Schizosaccharomyces pombe: one gene and its partners. The gene in region 2 interacts genetically with the main gene of each other region. Each region holds a gene or a part of one and is shown on either strand. Other genes may lie near its edges. The genes, in order: cti6, eri1 and nap1.

Region 1 (4,816 bases), 810 kb from region 2:
TTACAATGCTCAACCTTACAAATTCAAAATATTTTATAATGCCAAAAGCATCACAAAATGATATTTCACACAAATCGGTTTTGATTCAGTATATGAATAGCCTCATGTTTAACGGTACTAAACTAGTTAATATGCTGTCGGAAACAGATGTTGCAAACTTAAAAGAAAGTTACAGCAAAATTCTCTTACCTTAACGAAACCAATGTCGTTGGCGTACTCACGGAAACTTTGACGAGAGATGTTCAAACCGTACTTGCGGATTAAACCGAGACGACGACCAGTGTGAGCGCTAAATTATGAATTAATACATCACTCGTGTATAAAAAAGATGCTTGCTTACCATTGTCTGCTGCCCTTTCCGTACTTGCGAGGGTGAGAGAACCAAACGTTTTCGTGGGCCATTTTGGTGTGAAGGTAGAGATTGTTTCAAGCGTTTCTTCTACTAGACGAAAGTCGTGACTGCTCTTCTAGGCATAGGGTAGGGCTAATATAGAGAAATACAATGCATTTCGTTATTTGACATTGTGCTCAACAATGTAAATAAAGTATGTATAGTACTATTTTTTAAGTAGAAATTGTTTTCATTAGACACTTAGTTAAAATATTTGTTCAATTGATGGAATAATCAGGATTTATTTTTTTCCTCTCCAGTACCAAGCCTTATATAACATTATATTGTAGCTGGTTTAATAGGCACTTAATGAAAGATGGATTTTCCTTCAGAAAGTAGTTATTGTGGTGTTTTCTACGTTTGATTTTTTTTTTTTTTTTTAGTTTCAAAACCTCTTGTATTTATTAAATTAGTGAGTACTTTTGAACGTTTTTACTCATTCACTTGGAAATCGGTGTACTCGAAAAACATAGCTCATTTCAAAAAATATACAAAAGTTTAACCTGTAAATAATAATAAATTATATTTCTTCAATTAACCAAACAAAAATTATATCCCTCTCATCAAAGGAACTCTAAATCTTTATCAAAATATCTATCATAAATCAACAAAGGAAACCATTAGATCATAAAAAAGTAAAAATATATGTATGTTGACATGTTCAATTGAACACATCTTTCTCCTTTTTTCTTCCTTTGCTTCTTTTTTTTAATATTACTGATGTAAATTCACACAGTACACAGCATCATCAAGTTCGACTGAATCGTTGTTCCCAATGCAATAAATCCCTGGTGAGATTGTCTACCATCCTAAGAGTTTCCTTCTCTTCTTCTGGGCCTTCTTTCGATGACTTTGTGGATGATTGATTACCAGCAGACTGAGCTGCCATTTCAACTTGAATATGTCCAATATACTCTAGCATAGAGGCAACTCTTCGCCGCATCTCAGTCATAGTGATTCTTGAGTGCAATCCCTTAGGCTTGGTTATGGTCTCTACGAACGTTCCATCCGGATGTAATTGAGGAATTCGGTGATTATCGTTCGAACTAGATTTTCCTCTTCTTCCTCCCACCTTTCTTGTTTTTGAAGGCTTCGGTGCGACAGCTGCTGGAAGATCCGCTTTGTCTTCTGCCGCTGCTTCACGTTTAGCTTTTCGCGTTGACCGAGTAGTGGTCGAAATAGAAGTAATGGTAGATTGTTGTGAGCTTTGAGGGGATGCTTCTCCAGACTCCTCTTTTACTGAGTGCTTTTCTTCATCAGCAATCTCCTCAACCGTATCTACAGTTTCTTCTTCAGGGGCATCCGTTTCAGCGACATTAGTAGTAGAGGTTTCTTTATTCTCTTCGTTTTCGTCCTTCGACTCCTTACTATCTTCTAAAATTTCATCATTCTCTTCTTCAATTTTTTGTTTTAAATTTATTTCGGTTCCTTGCGATTCATCTTGGGGAGCTGGTGGAGAAAGAGACTTCGATGAAGTTCGCCTAAAAACAGTTAGTATATCATCTATGAATATCAATGACCATACCCTCTAGATCTCCTCGGTATTAGTGACTTTTCCTTAGCAATTGCAAGATACTCTTCATAATCAAGAGCGGCGTCTCTGGAATTCATAGTAAGACGTTGCTTAGACGACTTTTTGGTTGCCGGAGATGGGGGAGTAGATGAAGATTCTTCTGTTTGACTGGCTTCTATAGGTTTTCCATTTCCAAGATACTTTGATTGTTTAGCCCTGCGGCGAAGTTAGTAACAATAGTTGAAAAACCCAATTTTTTTAATTGCTAGAAGAGAAAAAAGAATAAAATGGAGATATTTGGAAACCACTGCAATTAGTTTAAAGCATTAGGTATTCAGTGGTAAATCCATTTTAAATCCTTAAGCTCATCTGTTATCAACACTTACCCTCTGCCCCTTTGATATACTTTATGGAATTCTGGATGGCATATTTCGCAATAATATACCTCGGGAACTTCTGATTCATCAGCAAATCCCACACAGTTCCCATGTTGCCAAACTGAGCATTGATCGCACTGAATATACAGCCCCCCGTCACTAGCTTCATCGTCGGATTCGACAATTCCACAAACACAGCGGGTTACTTCTCCAGTACTCGATGTTTCATTCTCTTCATTATCGGAAACTGAGCCATTAGGCGTGTGGGGTGTGTCTACGGGAGATTTCTGAATTTTTTCAGACTCTTCCTCTTTTTCTTCATTAGCGGGAGTTGAATTACTCGGCATAATGTATAATAATCGTTTTATTAAAAAATTGTGCTGTGCGCTTGGGGAATGGTGAAGGATTGGAAGATAGGTAATACATTTACCAACTACAACATCAATGAAATATATCGCGAATTGCTGAAACTTCACGCTTTAAGTAATTAATGTATGGGAAATTTGTTTTTTTATATTCATTTAGTGATTGAATGTTTTTGGTCAAAGTCGTAATGGCACTTTGGTAATAGTTAAATAGTTGAATGGCAAAAACGTTGGATTCTAGGATTCAAGCCCAGAGGGAGACTGCCAATGCATTGAAATGATAGTTAATTAAAAAAAATTGATAAAAACCCAATTATCTTTGTAAACATAAACAGTTTAACACCTTTCATTTTTTTATAGGCCCATTTTGCCCGTTGATTTGCCCTTGACCATCGGAGAACCTGGTTTGTCTGGGAATGGTTATTTAAGTCTCCTAAAGCTTTAGCACTGTTGAATTAGATTAAGAAACTTATATGTTCATCTCAAACTTCATATAATTAAACGTATGGTTTGTTTGACCCACTTTTTATGCTATCTCTCTGTACTAATTATTATTGAAATGAGAATTGACTTGATTTGGGAATGCATATTATTATAAGCTGTATTATGAAGGTTGTGAAATCATTTCTGTAAGGTGCTGCTGCTTTTATAAATTAAAAGAGGTTTTGTAATATCGACATGATATTTGGTATTATCTCCATGTATTCGCATTTTACGATGTTCCTGCAATCTTTAGAATGGCGTATGTGCATATTTTGAAACTAAAAAACATCTTACATTTTAAAAAAGGCTTTTTCCTCGCAATGTCAGAAAAGCAACTGCTACTCGGTTCACCGGGAATTCATGAACAAAACAATGAAATTTGATTGTATTTTTCTTCGATACTATATTCAACTGACTAGATACTTATGAAATAAAATAAAAAACTATTTATATCCTTGTGATCAACGTTTGACAGTGAGAAATTGTTATAATTCTAAATTTTCTCTTTTTATTGAAATTTATTCGATGAAAAAATCAATTGTATGCTCTTCCACCACTTCGAATGCTCTATTGATATAAATATATGTCTATGAAAAATTCGTTTTATTTCTACAGAATTTACAAAATTCTCTAATTTACTGCTAATACTGTGTTCAAGTTGGTAAAATATTCGTGTGCCACAAATATCTATTTTGGTATAAATTTCTCATGTCACTCATTAATTGAGATGATAGTGATAAATATTAACAATTTTTTTAGTAATAGTAAGAAAAGAAATAATATTTCATTGCTTTTATATCTGCTGGCAAACCAGAGTAGAGCGATATCGCATCTGTATATCGTAATTTCATCTCTTTTAACAACCAAGAACGAGCATTCCACTCGTACAGCTGGGAAGGTGCTTTAATACATCGTGTACTATAATTTTTCCTATTATTTATCGGGCTTCTGAATAGATTCTACAATTTAATTTATCGAGCTGGTCTCTTTTTGTCTGCTGATTTCTATTCTACGATTTCTCAGGCGTTTTTTATTCCACGTTCTATTATTTGTTTAGAACCATTTTTTTTATATTGCATAGTTCTTATTTTCTTTTAAAATAACTTTCTTGAACGATTCTTCCAAAAAATCGATCAGTTTGCATACTCATACGCTTAGTACTTAATTGTAATTCGTAAAGTTGGTTCCTAAAAACACCAATTTTATAGCTTCCTAGATTTTTTCTCTATTCCTAGTTTGGGTTAATTTATGTCTGGGTATAGTCCTTTGTCTTCTGGACCAGCAGACGTCCATATTGGAAAAGCTGGGTTCTTTTCTTCGGTTATCAACCTTGCCAATACTATTTTGGGAGCTGGAATTCTTTCCTTACCAAATGCGTTTACCAAGACTGGTCTGTTGTTTGGGTGTTTGACCATCGTCTTTAGTGCATTCGCTTCTTTTTTAGGATTATATTTTGTTTCCCAATGCGCCGCACGACTCCCGAGGGGAAAGGCTTCATTTGCTGCTGTTGCCAAGCACACCTTTCCCTCTTTGGCTGTTGTCTTTGACGCTTCTATTGCTGTTAAATGCTTCGGTGTAGCGGTAAGCTATTTGGTTATTGTAGGCGATTTAATGCCCCAAATTGCTCCATCACTTGGTCTCTCTTCTCCAATGTTCCTTAGGCGCCAAACATGGATTGTCTTTGCGC
Region 2 (5,244 bases):
CTTTTCTGTAGTAAGTTGTGTATAAAGTTCAGTAAAGTTCACATTGGGTAAGTTACTAATGCATCAAAATTATCGTATAAAAGGTACTAATCACATTTTTACTGCTCTAACATTTCTTCTTAGAAATACTCGATTATGTAAATCAAGTTTTTTACCTTGTGCCCTGATTAAGCTTTTTGACCGAAGAGAATGAAGATTTATTGGATGATTATGGTTGTCTTTCACCCCAAATTCGCGAAATCGCAGTACAAGTAGCTCTGTTTCGTACACTCTTGGTTTCTGATTTTCCGTTGGTATAAATCTCCGTCTTTCCAGTCGTTTCAATATGGCGTCAAATTGCTGCAAATTGTCCGGAATTTTTGTATTATGAAACACATTATCAAATGCAATCTCAATTGCTCTTGCTTTTTCTAACGGCATTAAATCCATTTGCTTAACATTTTAATAAAATATCACAGACGGAGAAACTTTCGAAAATTAGGTAGTCCGTTAATATACGAAAGAAAGAATAACTAATTATTGTCGTTTATTAAAGATACTTTAACTAATACTCCTTTTGGAAGAGTAAAACGCGTACTAGTGTATTTCCTACCCTTGAGTATGAGCATGCCATACACATGTGAAGAGTACAAGAAAGTAATATTCTCTTATAATTTCATAATGTAATATATATTATCATAAAGGATTTATATATCTAAAGTCAATAATTTGATATAATTAGTTGCTTTTCTCAAACAAATCATGTTATTTAATGAATTTACTAATAATCTTTTTTAATTGAAGTCCATTAGTTTAATTAGTTGATTTCGGTTTTGGACTCAAACAAATAGGCTCAATGAACTCTGTAATTGCAAATGCTACGTAGACCACCTACAAGAAAGAAAAAAAAAAAATATATATATATATTACAGAAAGCCTCAACTTACTAAGCAGTTAACTCTTGTATTTGAGACGTTTAATTTATACTCTTCTTGTAGAGCGAAGACTAATTTTTCCGTTTACGGTTTTGATTCTCGGGATTAGCGAATTCGAGGTATTTTAGTATATTTATGAACAAAAATGATACACCTGCCGCAGGGGAGTTTTACACAAGGACTAATAGTTGGACAATTGTTGACACTGGCCATTATTTATGTGTTTTTGCGGTTCTTTTTATTTTGTAGTCCAATTCCAAAGTCTGTAGCAAACTCTCCAAAACAAACGGGGAATGAAACACCTGACGAGACTCCTTCAACTCCTTTAAGTAATAACAAAAAAAGGTACAAAAAGCCTCTTACTATCCTTGAACCTCATATACTCAATCTGCTTTACGATGTTAATGAACATGAGCCGGAATCATTGGATTGGTTTAATGTACTAATAGCACAAGCTCTCATACAGTTTCGCTATGATGCATGTTCCAACGATGTTGCCCTGAGAAAACTTGAAACTGTTCTCAACAAAGGTGCTCAAGACAAGTCTATGGTTGATCATATTTACGTGCGAGATTTATCGCTTGGAGACGGATTTCCGGTTTTCAGTCATTGTCGGGTTCTACCTCATCAGCATAATTCCTCACAGCTTCGAGCGGAGATGCTTGTTTCTCTGACTGACAATATTAATTGCACCGTTGACACAAAGCTTTTACTTAATTTTCCAAAGCCTGCGTTTGCAACCTTACCATTGTCCATTACAGTTAGGATTTGTAAATTTGTCGGAAAGGTAAGTCTATTTACAACCTTAATAGTATATAGTCTCTACGATTCTTTACACCCCTCCCCCGGGGGTTTGAAACATCAAGTGTTAAATCGTATCACAGTGGTATTCTACGATAGACTATTTTTTTTCGTCTTTTAATAACGGTCTTTTCTAACATTTGTCCTAGATTATGATTTATTTTTCCCCAAGCAATGGTGCAGGCCAGCCTGCATATATGAACTTGTCATTTGACCCCAATTTCGTGATCTCGCTACAAGTAAGTTCTCTTGTGGGAGCTAGGTCAAAGCTTCAAGACATTCCTAAAATTACACAATTGATCGAATCAAGGATTCGACAATGGTTTACTAATCGTTGTGTTTCTCCTCAGTTTCAACAGTAAGTGAGAGTATGAATTGATTCATACTAACTAATTCCCACAGGATCGCAATTCCCAACCTATGGCCAACCTCTGCAAAAGAAGGACATGCGAGGTCCCATGCACCTCAAGAGGAGTCATCTAATGAAGATTAAACATTCTTTTGACGTAATTTTCGGAAATTTTTTTTATCTATGAATTTTAACGATAATTTATCTCTACCAGATTCCACGAAATATATTGATTATGAAGTCGAAATAAAAATTTTAAGCATTAGCTTGCGAAATATGGCGGGTAACTTCGATTCGGAATCCAGCCGTTCTTCTCATATTCCATCCACCACCTATTGCATTCGAATTCTACGTTTTCCGAACACATTTTTTTAACAATTCGTGATAAATTCCTCGCATCATCTATTCCGCGATGCTCGCTTCCCTCAAACTGAAGACCCCAATGCTCTAGCATTCCATTAATATTTGTGCGTGGAACGCGATAAACGTCTTTATAGAAAGACCTAATATCTACGAATGGTCCTTTGATCCAGTCAGGAATTGGCATTTTATCATATTTGAACTGATAATACGATTTGTTAGCGAAATGTGAGACAAACCGAACAAAATTATATTAACACTTACTTGTTTGGCTAAAAAGGACGCCATATCCCAAGGACCATCACAAGCCCAGGCCCAATTTTTGGGCTGTGTTCTGGGTACGGACTTTAAGGGTTCTATAATCTCAATTTCATCAACTGAGGGAACTAAAATATTGGAATGTTTCCGCAAGAATATGAATAGTTCTTCCAAGACATCTGAGAAGATAGGCGCTTTATCAACAGTGCATTGTTGAATTCCTGTCAGTGATTTACAATAGTCAGACAAAGTAGGATTCATGGATGGGCGAACGTAAGAATGAAATTCGTCGATTATGGATTTTTCTATTAAATCGAATAGAAGACATGGTAATTCTATGATCTCGTTTTCGAAGCTAAATCCGCAACCTTCTTCACATGTAGCTTCGACGTCCACAATTAGCAAGTATCGTCTACAAGTATTCAGTTACTGTTAGATAGAAAATGTTTAAACAATTGATGATTTAACCCTACAAACAAGTTTTGTTTTCATTACTAGTAGAAAACTTTTGATAACGTTCTTGTTTTCGTTTTTCTTCAAGACGTTTTTCACGAAATTTCCATCGCCGTTTCAGTTTTTCTCTTTATACTGTGTAAATAATTAATTTATATAAACTCTGAGAAAACGGACTAATTGCTTCTCAATTTCAGTAACATACTTGTTTCCATTCGTACTCAACCCAAGTTCTTGTAGTGCTATACGAATTTCTTCTACCGTAGACGGTGTTTTTTGGTTCATCTCGTCACATGGAAAAGGCCAAACTAAAATCTGCACTGGCGACTCCATAAATTTTTTATATTTTTGGAATTACTTTACCTTTTATTTCATTAGATAAACCATTTCATTATAATGGAATATAAATGTTTTTGAAATAACACTGTTTTGTTGGCAATCTTTTTTTGAACCCTACACTTTTTCTGGGTTGTTGTCTACCTGTATTAAAGTTGGGAAAGCATTGAGAAAAAACACATTATAAAAAGAGGGATGGATGAATTTCAAACTTTGAAACAAAATGCCTCGTGGGATATATCTGAAGACGCAAATGATACACCCAGTTTGCTTGTAGTTATATTAGACGCAAATCCTGCCTCATGGTACTCCCTTTCCAAAAAAGTGCCTGTTTCCAAGGTACTGGCAGATATTACGGTTTTTCTAAACGCACACTTAGCTTTTCATCATGATAATAGAGTTGCTGTGTTAGCTTCACACTCGGACAAGGTTGAATACCTATACCCTTCGATTGCACCTGAGCAAAAAGTCGCAGAAGTAGATCCTACCAAGGAGGCAAATACGTATCGAAAGTTTCGTGAGGTAGACGACTTAGTTTTATCTGGGATGAAGCGACTCATGAGTTCGACTGATAAAGTTTCAAGAAAAACGATGATTTCCGGAGCACTATCTAGAGCCCTTGCATATATCAATCAAGTTCAAAATAAAAATACTCTTCGTTCTCGAATTCTAATTTTCTCATTAACTGGTGATGTTGCTCTTCAGTATATTCCTACTATGAATTGTATATTTTGTGCTCAAAAGAAAAATATTCCAATTAACGTTTGCAACATTGAGGGAGGCACCCTGTTTTTAGAACAAGCAGCAGATGCCACAGGAGGGATTTACTTAAAAGTTGACAACCCCAAAGGCTTACTACAATATCTCATGATGTCGCTTTTTCCGGATCAAAATCTTCGAAAACACTTAAATACCCCAAACCAAGCGAATGTTGATTTTCGAGCTACATGTTTTTGCCACAAAAAGGTTTTGGATATTGGCTTTGTTTGCTCAGTTTGTCTATCAAGTAAGTAGTAACAAAGCTTTACGATAGGCTTTGAACATTTGACCTTTTGCTAACCTCTTTAGTATTTTGTGAACCACGGGTGCATTGTTCTACTTGTCATACCAAATTCACGGTAGAACCTATGTCAAAAAAATTGCACACTTGATAATTCGTTATATTATTATTAAACTATATATTTCTTTGTCTCACACCGGGTGTACAGCTTTATCATATTTGAAACCCTGTTTTTCATTACCTAAATCTCCTTATCCTGGTGATTTGTACAGTCTAGCTCTTTTTTTTTGGCGATTTTTACTTTCTGGCATTTTGATACACTTGAAATGTTAACATTTTTCGGAAGGATCAAACTATTTCCTTAAGGGGCATCCACAAGTAGAAACTTAACGTATAAGCAACTAATTCATTCCAACGTACCCTATTATTATTTATTTCCTTAGAGCTTCTTCTATTATTTCTTCAAGTTGCATTGGCTTCTTTCTTTTCCAAACAGTGCAGTAAGACGAAATTATATACTATTCTTTAATTAATTTACTAACGAATCATTAATGTTGAAGATGCTGACAGAAATTATTTCACAGGAACTTTCCTTTCTACTGTTTATAATCTATTGCATCTCTAATGTTGGTGCTTGATCATTTTAACAATGGCTTTTTTTAAGCTTTTTTAATCAGAAAAGTTATATTACATTGAGATCTATATGAATGCAATTTATAATGAATTGGTTTGATTATTGTAGTAAGGTTACGAATCTTGGTTTTTACATGTAA
Region 3 (5,131 bases), on a different chromosome or scaffold from region 2:
CTTGTGTGTTTTCCCTACTTTAAAATTATTTGTTTCCTTTAGTAGTAGCTAGCTGGATTTTATTTCTTTGTACCTTTGATAGATCATTTGTAGAATCCATTTTATTAAAACTTACGAGGAAAAATAATAAATCAAACAAATCTGATATATCACATGAGCTTAGTTAAATTTGAATTGACTTTCAGTGTTTTGAGTCCACCAAATTGCTGCAACAATATTATACAACTAAACGCATTCCATCAAATTGGACGCTGTTTTATTTAGGACCTTTGCATTATATACTAAAAACATTCTTAAGTTGCAAATGAATATAAAGAATTTTCAATATAAAAATTGCCAAAAATTTTCGACACCAGCAGGATTTGAACCTGCGCGCGGAGACCGCAACAGATTTCTAGTCTGTCCCTTTAACCACTCAGGCATAGTGTCTAAGTCGAAAATTATAAAAGCTATAATATATTTAAGGCAAGTATTAAAATTAAAATATTAGATGTTGTAAGAGATATGTCAAATATGCTTTAAATTTAGACTAAGATAAATTGTAGTATGCAATCCTCCATCCCAATTGTAATCATCTCCATTATTTGATGATTCTAACTTTAAAAAACAAAACTGGTATCTGTTAAACGCTAGACGAACTTACTATAACAACCGAACACTCTTTTACAATGCGCTCCGCATTTTTTTAGTTTCCTTCTTACTCCAAGAATTGCAAGCTTCTTTATGTCTAAAAAAACGAAAAAAAAACAAATCGTATTTTTGATAAACTTTGACACTCATTTCTTTCGAAATAGCCTTTTATGTAAACACATCGGGTTTAGTTATACCTTCCCAACTTCTTGGGTAGAGTAGACTAACTAGGATGCAACCCATTCATACTATGAATTCTCAATTGCTTACTTCTAAGTCAAAACAAAGCATTATTTTCTAGAAAAGCTCGTAAAAAGGGTTCTCTTTTTTAAGCTTTACTAAAGGTCAATTTTTACAGTCAGTGTTTTCAACTTGGTCTAAACTAACAATAAAAAACTATCACTAGTTCTTTTCGCAAGCATTTGATTGAAAAAAAAGGCAAGAAAATATTAAAACGTCCAAGTTTGTCCGAGCGTTTTCATCATGATTGATCAAATATAAGCATTCCAAAATCTTTAAAGGCTTTCGTACTCAAACTAGAAACTCGGAAAATTCGCCAAGAACGATCACACCTCCCATTATGTAGACGATGTCGTTTAGGTCTTTTAAAGCCATTCATCTCAAAACCACCAATTCCAGTAAAAAATAAAACACGTCGACTGTAAGCATTTTTATTTGATAAACGAAAAAAACTCGATAAATTGGAAGATATTTAAAAACTTTATAAACTTGCAGAATCTCGTCCGCAAGCACTCACATGTGGTCCGAACCTATCCTGTACAACAAAAGGTTTACAAATGTTGCATGAAAACCTCAAGAATCATACTTTTCAAGTATCTTTCCTTTAGTCAAAACACAGAAAACCCATTGTTATTAACCCCATAATATATGCACATTATCGAAATTGTTTATTGCTGACGGCACTCAGCAGCGTTTTGCTGGCCATGAGCAGTGTGCTTGCTATCACTGTCCTCCTCATCGGAATCGGAAACTTCTTCGTTAGAAGAGGATTCAACATCATCTTCATCCTCTTCAACATCTAAGTCGCTGAATCCGTCATAGTTTTCAAGAGCTAAAGCCTCACCAGTAAACCACTCAACGGCACGAGGAATGAGTTTCTCTTTGAAGTCCTCACCGATTTGATAGTCAAGTTCCAACAATTCATCCAATTCAGGGCTCTCCGATTCTTCGTCTTCCTCAGATGGAGGAGTTGGGGGATTAAAAAAGTTGAAGAAACTGTCACGAGGAACGGAAACCTTTACGACACGAGTTTGTTTAGTGTTTTTATTGCGTTGCTTTTTAGTAACGGTACGAACAGTCAAATCGGCATTTTCTTTCCAATCAACCTTATCGCCCTCAGCATGATCATACAAGAAAACGTTGGACGGGCCAGATTCCTCCATGTAATAATAAGTTTTGGTGAGAATCTTGTTAGTAAAGAATGGGTTTTCAGCAAATTCAAATTCTAATTTGAAACCAGGCTTTTCCATATAGGAAATGCGAATATCCACAAGGTGACTTAAAGCTCCTTCATCTTCGGGAGTAATCATTTCAGACAAAGACAAAACATTCTTCATAGCGGTCAACCAGAACTCAGGAATACCCTTAGTATCATCACCACCTTCTTGTTTCTTAGACTCAGAAGAAGTAGGTTCTTTCTTTTCGTTCTCATCGGCAGCTTCACCCTTCTTAATTTCCTCCTCGGTAGGTTCGTCAGCGCCACGAACAACCTCAGATCTTCTCTTAAAAATAGGTGCGTACTTCTTTGCATAAGCTTTTTCCAACTCAAACAGCTCTTTTTGGAATTGAGACTCCAAGTCGCTGTATCGCTTTTGCAAACCACGAAGTCCAGAAATCCTTCTTTGCACGGCTTCAGGCAATTCTGAAACTCCTTCTGAAGTGAGATGTAATAAAGAACCCAATTTTCCGTCGATAGCCTCTAAATTCTCATCTCCTTCGTCAATAGTATTTACTTGAGGAGCCTTCGCACCAAAGTTGGGAGCGCTCGTCCCCGATGGGGTGTTATGGGGAGTTGGGGCGGCAGACATTTTTCCGGCCCTTTTGTTATTAATATTAACGTTCTCTACCATATTAATTCTACTTGTTCCAGCAATCAATTATGCTTCAGACGCTTTCCGTACGTCCTTTTAATAACACTGGGAAGGGTAGTGGTAGAAGCTAAGTGTAAGAATATTTGCTGCACCCTGGGAATCTACCTACCCGCGGAACTTCCGAGCTCATCCTCGGGGTTTCCGACCTTAGTGAACAGTGCATCGTTGTGTTACGGACACTTTCTTTATTCCCGAAGGGGGTTTTTAAAAATAAAATTCGATGAATTTAGGCTCATAGTTAATATTATTTATATTTTTAAGACTAGTAAAGATCAGGAAGAGCTGAATTAACTGTAGAAGAAAGCCCTTTATATTCTAACAACATTTTGAAGCTAGAATCTTTTTGTCTCATTGAAATTATTCTATCATTAAATTAAACATCAGTCGAATAAGTATCGAAAATTGAGGTAAAAACTTTGCTGAACCAAAGGTTACTTTTTAAATGTTACTGGGTTAAATTTCGTTTTTGCCCAAGGCTACATTACGACGATTAATAGCCATGAACAACTCTTCCAAATTTTGAGACAACGACTTCTCAAGTGTTAAACGAGTTTGGGATTCATTCAAACGCTCAGCATTTCTTTTTTGCAATATACACAAAAAATCTGCTAATAAGTTAAGATTCCAATGATCTGGAATTTGCTCGCACACGTAGGAAAGCGTATAAGAAAAGGGTCGACGATACAATAGTTCTTTAATAAAATCACTACATCCATCTCCTGTTGATATACATTTTTCGAGCAAATTGCACCAACACTGAGGATAAACATCATCAATTTGAAGACAGTATGCTTCACCGCCCTTATAGTCATGAATATTCGTAACCAAAACGGATAAAGCTTTTTCATAATTCTTCTTCCTTTTGTAAAACGAGTGTTCAAGTTGAGGAAATAGATATAAATTGTCAACATGAATGTCGAACAAAATATCTTTTATTTTATCTATAGATTCTTCTTCAACATTTTCCATCAGATTAATAGAACACAAATAGTAAAATGAAAGATGAGTACTGAAATCACTCATGTCCCCCCAAAGTTGTTCCAAGTATTGGGCATACGTAGGTTTCTCCATGCAAGGAAGCTCCCTAAATGTTTCAATGGCAGTCTCAAGGCGATTTTTAAAATCGTTATGATCCAATAAACTGCCAAGCAACTTATTAACGCACAACTTTAAAAGTAGCGCTCGATGAGTGACGGAATTCGACTTTACAAGGTAATCAATCAAAACATCATCTTGAGAAGAATCCAAATGCTCTAACACGTCCTCTGCAGAAATGGATCCACTAACTGTTTTGTCAAGCAAAACGCGCGTACCCTCCGTTGCATCGTGTTTACAAAGCCATGTAGTAAATTCCCAGAATGTCGAAGGCTCAATATCATTAACCAAATATTCTCGTATTTTAATTAACCCATCGTTGAATCTCCGATCTTCATAATCCCCTGTTATTAATTTCTTCCAAGTTTGAAGAACACCATCGTGATCCCTTACAGTAGCCAATAACACGGAGAGTAAATAATACTCTTTCTTCTGTATCAACACATCTTTTATATCTTCAACACCAGTTAGACCAGACTCTAACAACTCCTTAGCATTTTTGGTACCGGCGGCTAAATCATCCATATTTAAATAAAGGAGTAATAACGAATGCTCTACAGCAAGCATCACGTCTCTTTGCGAAGATAAAAGATACTCAGATATGCTCGTGTTCTTTTTGTAATTTTTCAGATAACGCATCAACATGATGTATGCGTTTTCCTTAGTAATTTCAATCATTTGTCTCTGAGTGTATTGATCAGTATCACGAAACAATTCATTAGATTTTAAAACATTAGCAACAGTATCATCGACGGACAATATGCTTTTGCGAAAACTAATGACACCTTGAAAAGCAATATAGGAAAGCTCCGAATGATAGAGATCTGGATAGAGGGAGATAACTACGCGAGGATCAATTTTGGAAGTTTCAAGCAAAGAGAGAGAATTTTCATACTGTCCTTGCTTCCAATACTGTAATGCCGAGATTTGCTCCAAATAAGCAGATTGAAGATAAGCGACATCATTGGTTATTCCATACTTCTTCGGATTCCGCAATCGCTTACTCACTCGACGCAGAGGGGCTTCAATATCGCCTATGGTAATACTGAATTCTAGTTTGTTCATAAAATGAGCTTCAGCGCCAAACCCCCAAGATTTATTCGTAAGAAAAATAAATGAAGGCTTGCTAAAAGAAGCCCTTTCTATCGTATCAGAAGTTTTTGAGGTAGACGCAGTATTCACAGCAGAGAATTTACTAAATATTTGGCGATCACAAAAATGAACGCTTGTCAATCGAGAAATAAAAGAGAAACTTTCATCATCCTTCAGATTAATACTTTTAACAAGACTGAGAG

The links.
Region 1: mutations in eri1 (region 2) and cti6 together harm fitness more than expected from each alone (negative genetic interaction), as found in Schizosaccharomyces pombe (one large-scale study listed by BioGRID).
Region 3: mutations in eri1 (region 2) and nap1 together harm fitness more than expected from each alone (negative genetic interaction), as found in Schizosaccharomyces pombe (one large-scale study listed by BioGRID).

What each region holds. Positions count from the first base shown.
Region 1 is NC_003423.3:512,028-516,843, reverse strand, and holds cti6 (Rpd3L histone deacetylase complex PHD finger subunit Cti6), read right to left. Parts: upstream 2,690-4,816; 5' UTR 2,629-2,689; coding exon 2,291-2,628; intron 2,121-2,290; coding exon 1,917-2,120; intron 1,873-1,916; coding exon 1,140-1,872; 3' UTR 891-1,139; downstream 1-890. Other genes in the region: rps29 (40S ribosomal protein uS14), read right to left, coding at 109-117, 190-289, 341-402; vacuolar amino acid transmembrane transporter Avt5, read left to right, coding at 4,378-4,816. UniProt on the Schizosaccharomyces pombe protein: Could be a component of the RPD3C(L) histone deacetylase complex (HDAC).
Region 2 is NC_003423.3:1,318,916-1,324,159, reverse strand, and holds eri1 (double-strand siRNA ribonuclease Eri1), read right to left. Parts: upstream 3,441-5,244; 5' UTR 3,421-3,440; coding exon 3,341-3,420; intron 3,264-3,340; coding exon 3,156-3,263; exon of another isoform or gene 3,095-3,155; coding exon 2,689-3,094; exon of another isoform or gene 2,627-2,688; coding exon 2,327-2,626; 3' UTR 2,209-2,326; coding exon of another isoform or gene 2,118-2,208; 3' UTR 2,074-2,117; coding exon of another isoform or gene 1,865-2,073; 3' UTR 1,702-1,864; coding exon of another isoform or gene 1,060-1,701; 3' UTR 945-1,059; downstream 1-944. Other genes in the region: protein Mis19, read right to left, coding at 91-429; ERMES complex subunit Mmm1, read left to right, coding at 1,060-1,701, 1,865-2,073, 2,118-2,208; transcription factor TFIIH complex subunit Tfb4, read left to right, coding at 3,667-4,477, 4,540-4,622.
Region 3 is NC_003421.2:472,852-477,982, forward strand, and holds nap1 (histone H2A-H2B chaperone Nap1), read right to left. Parts: upstream 2,811-5,131; 5' UTR 2,721-2,810; coding exon 1,539-2,720; 3' UTR 747-1,538; downstream 1-746. Other genes in the region: GTPase regulator Vps3, read right to left, coding at 3,195-5,131.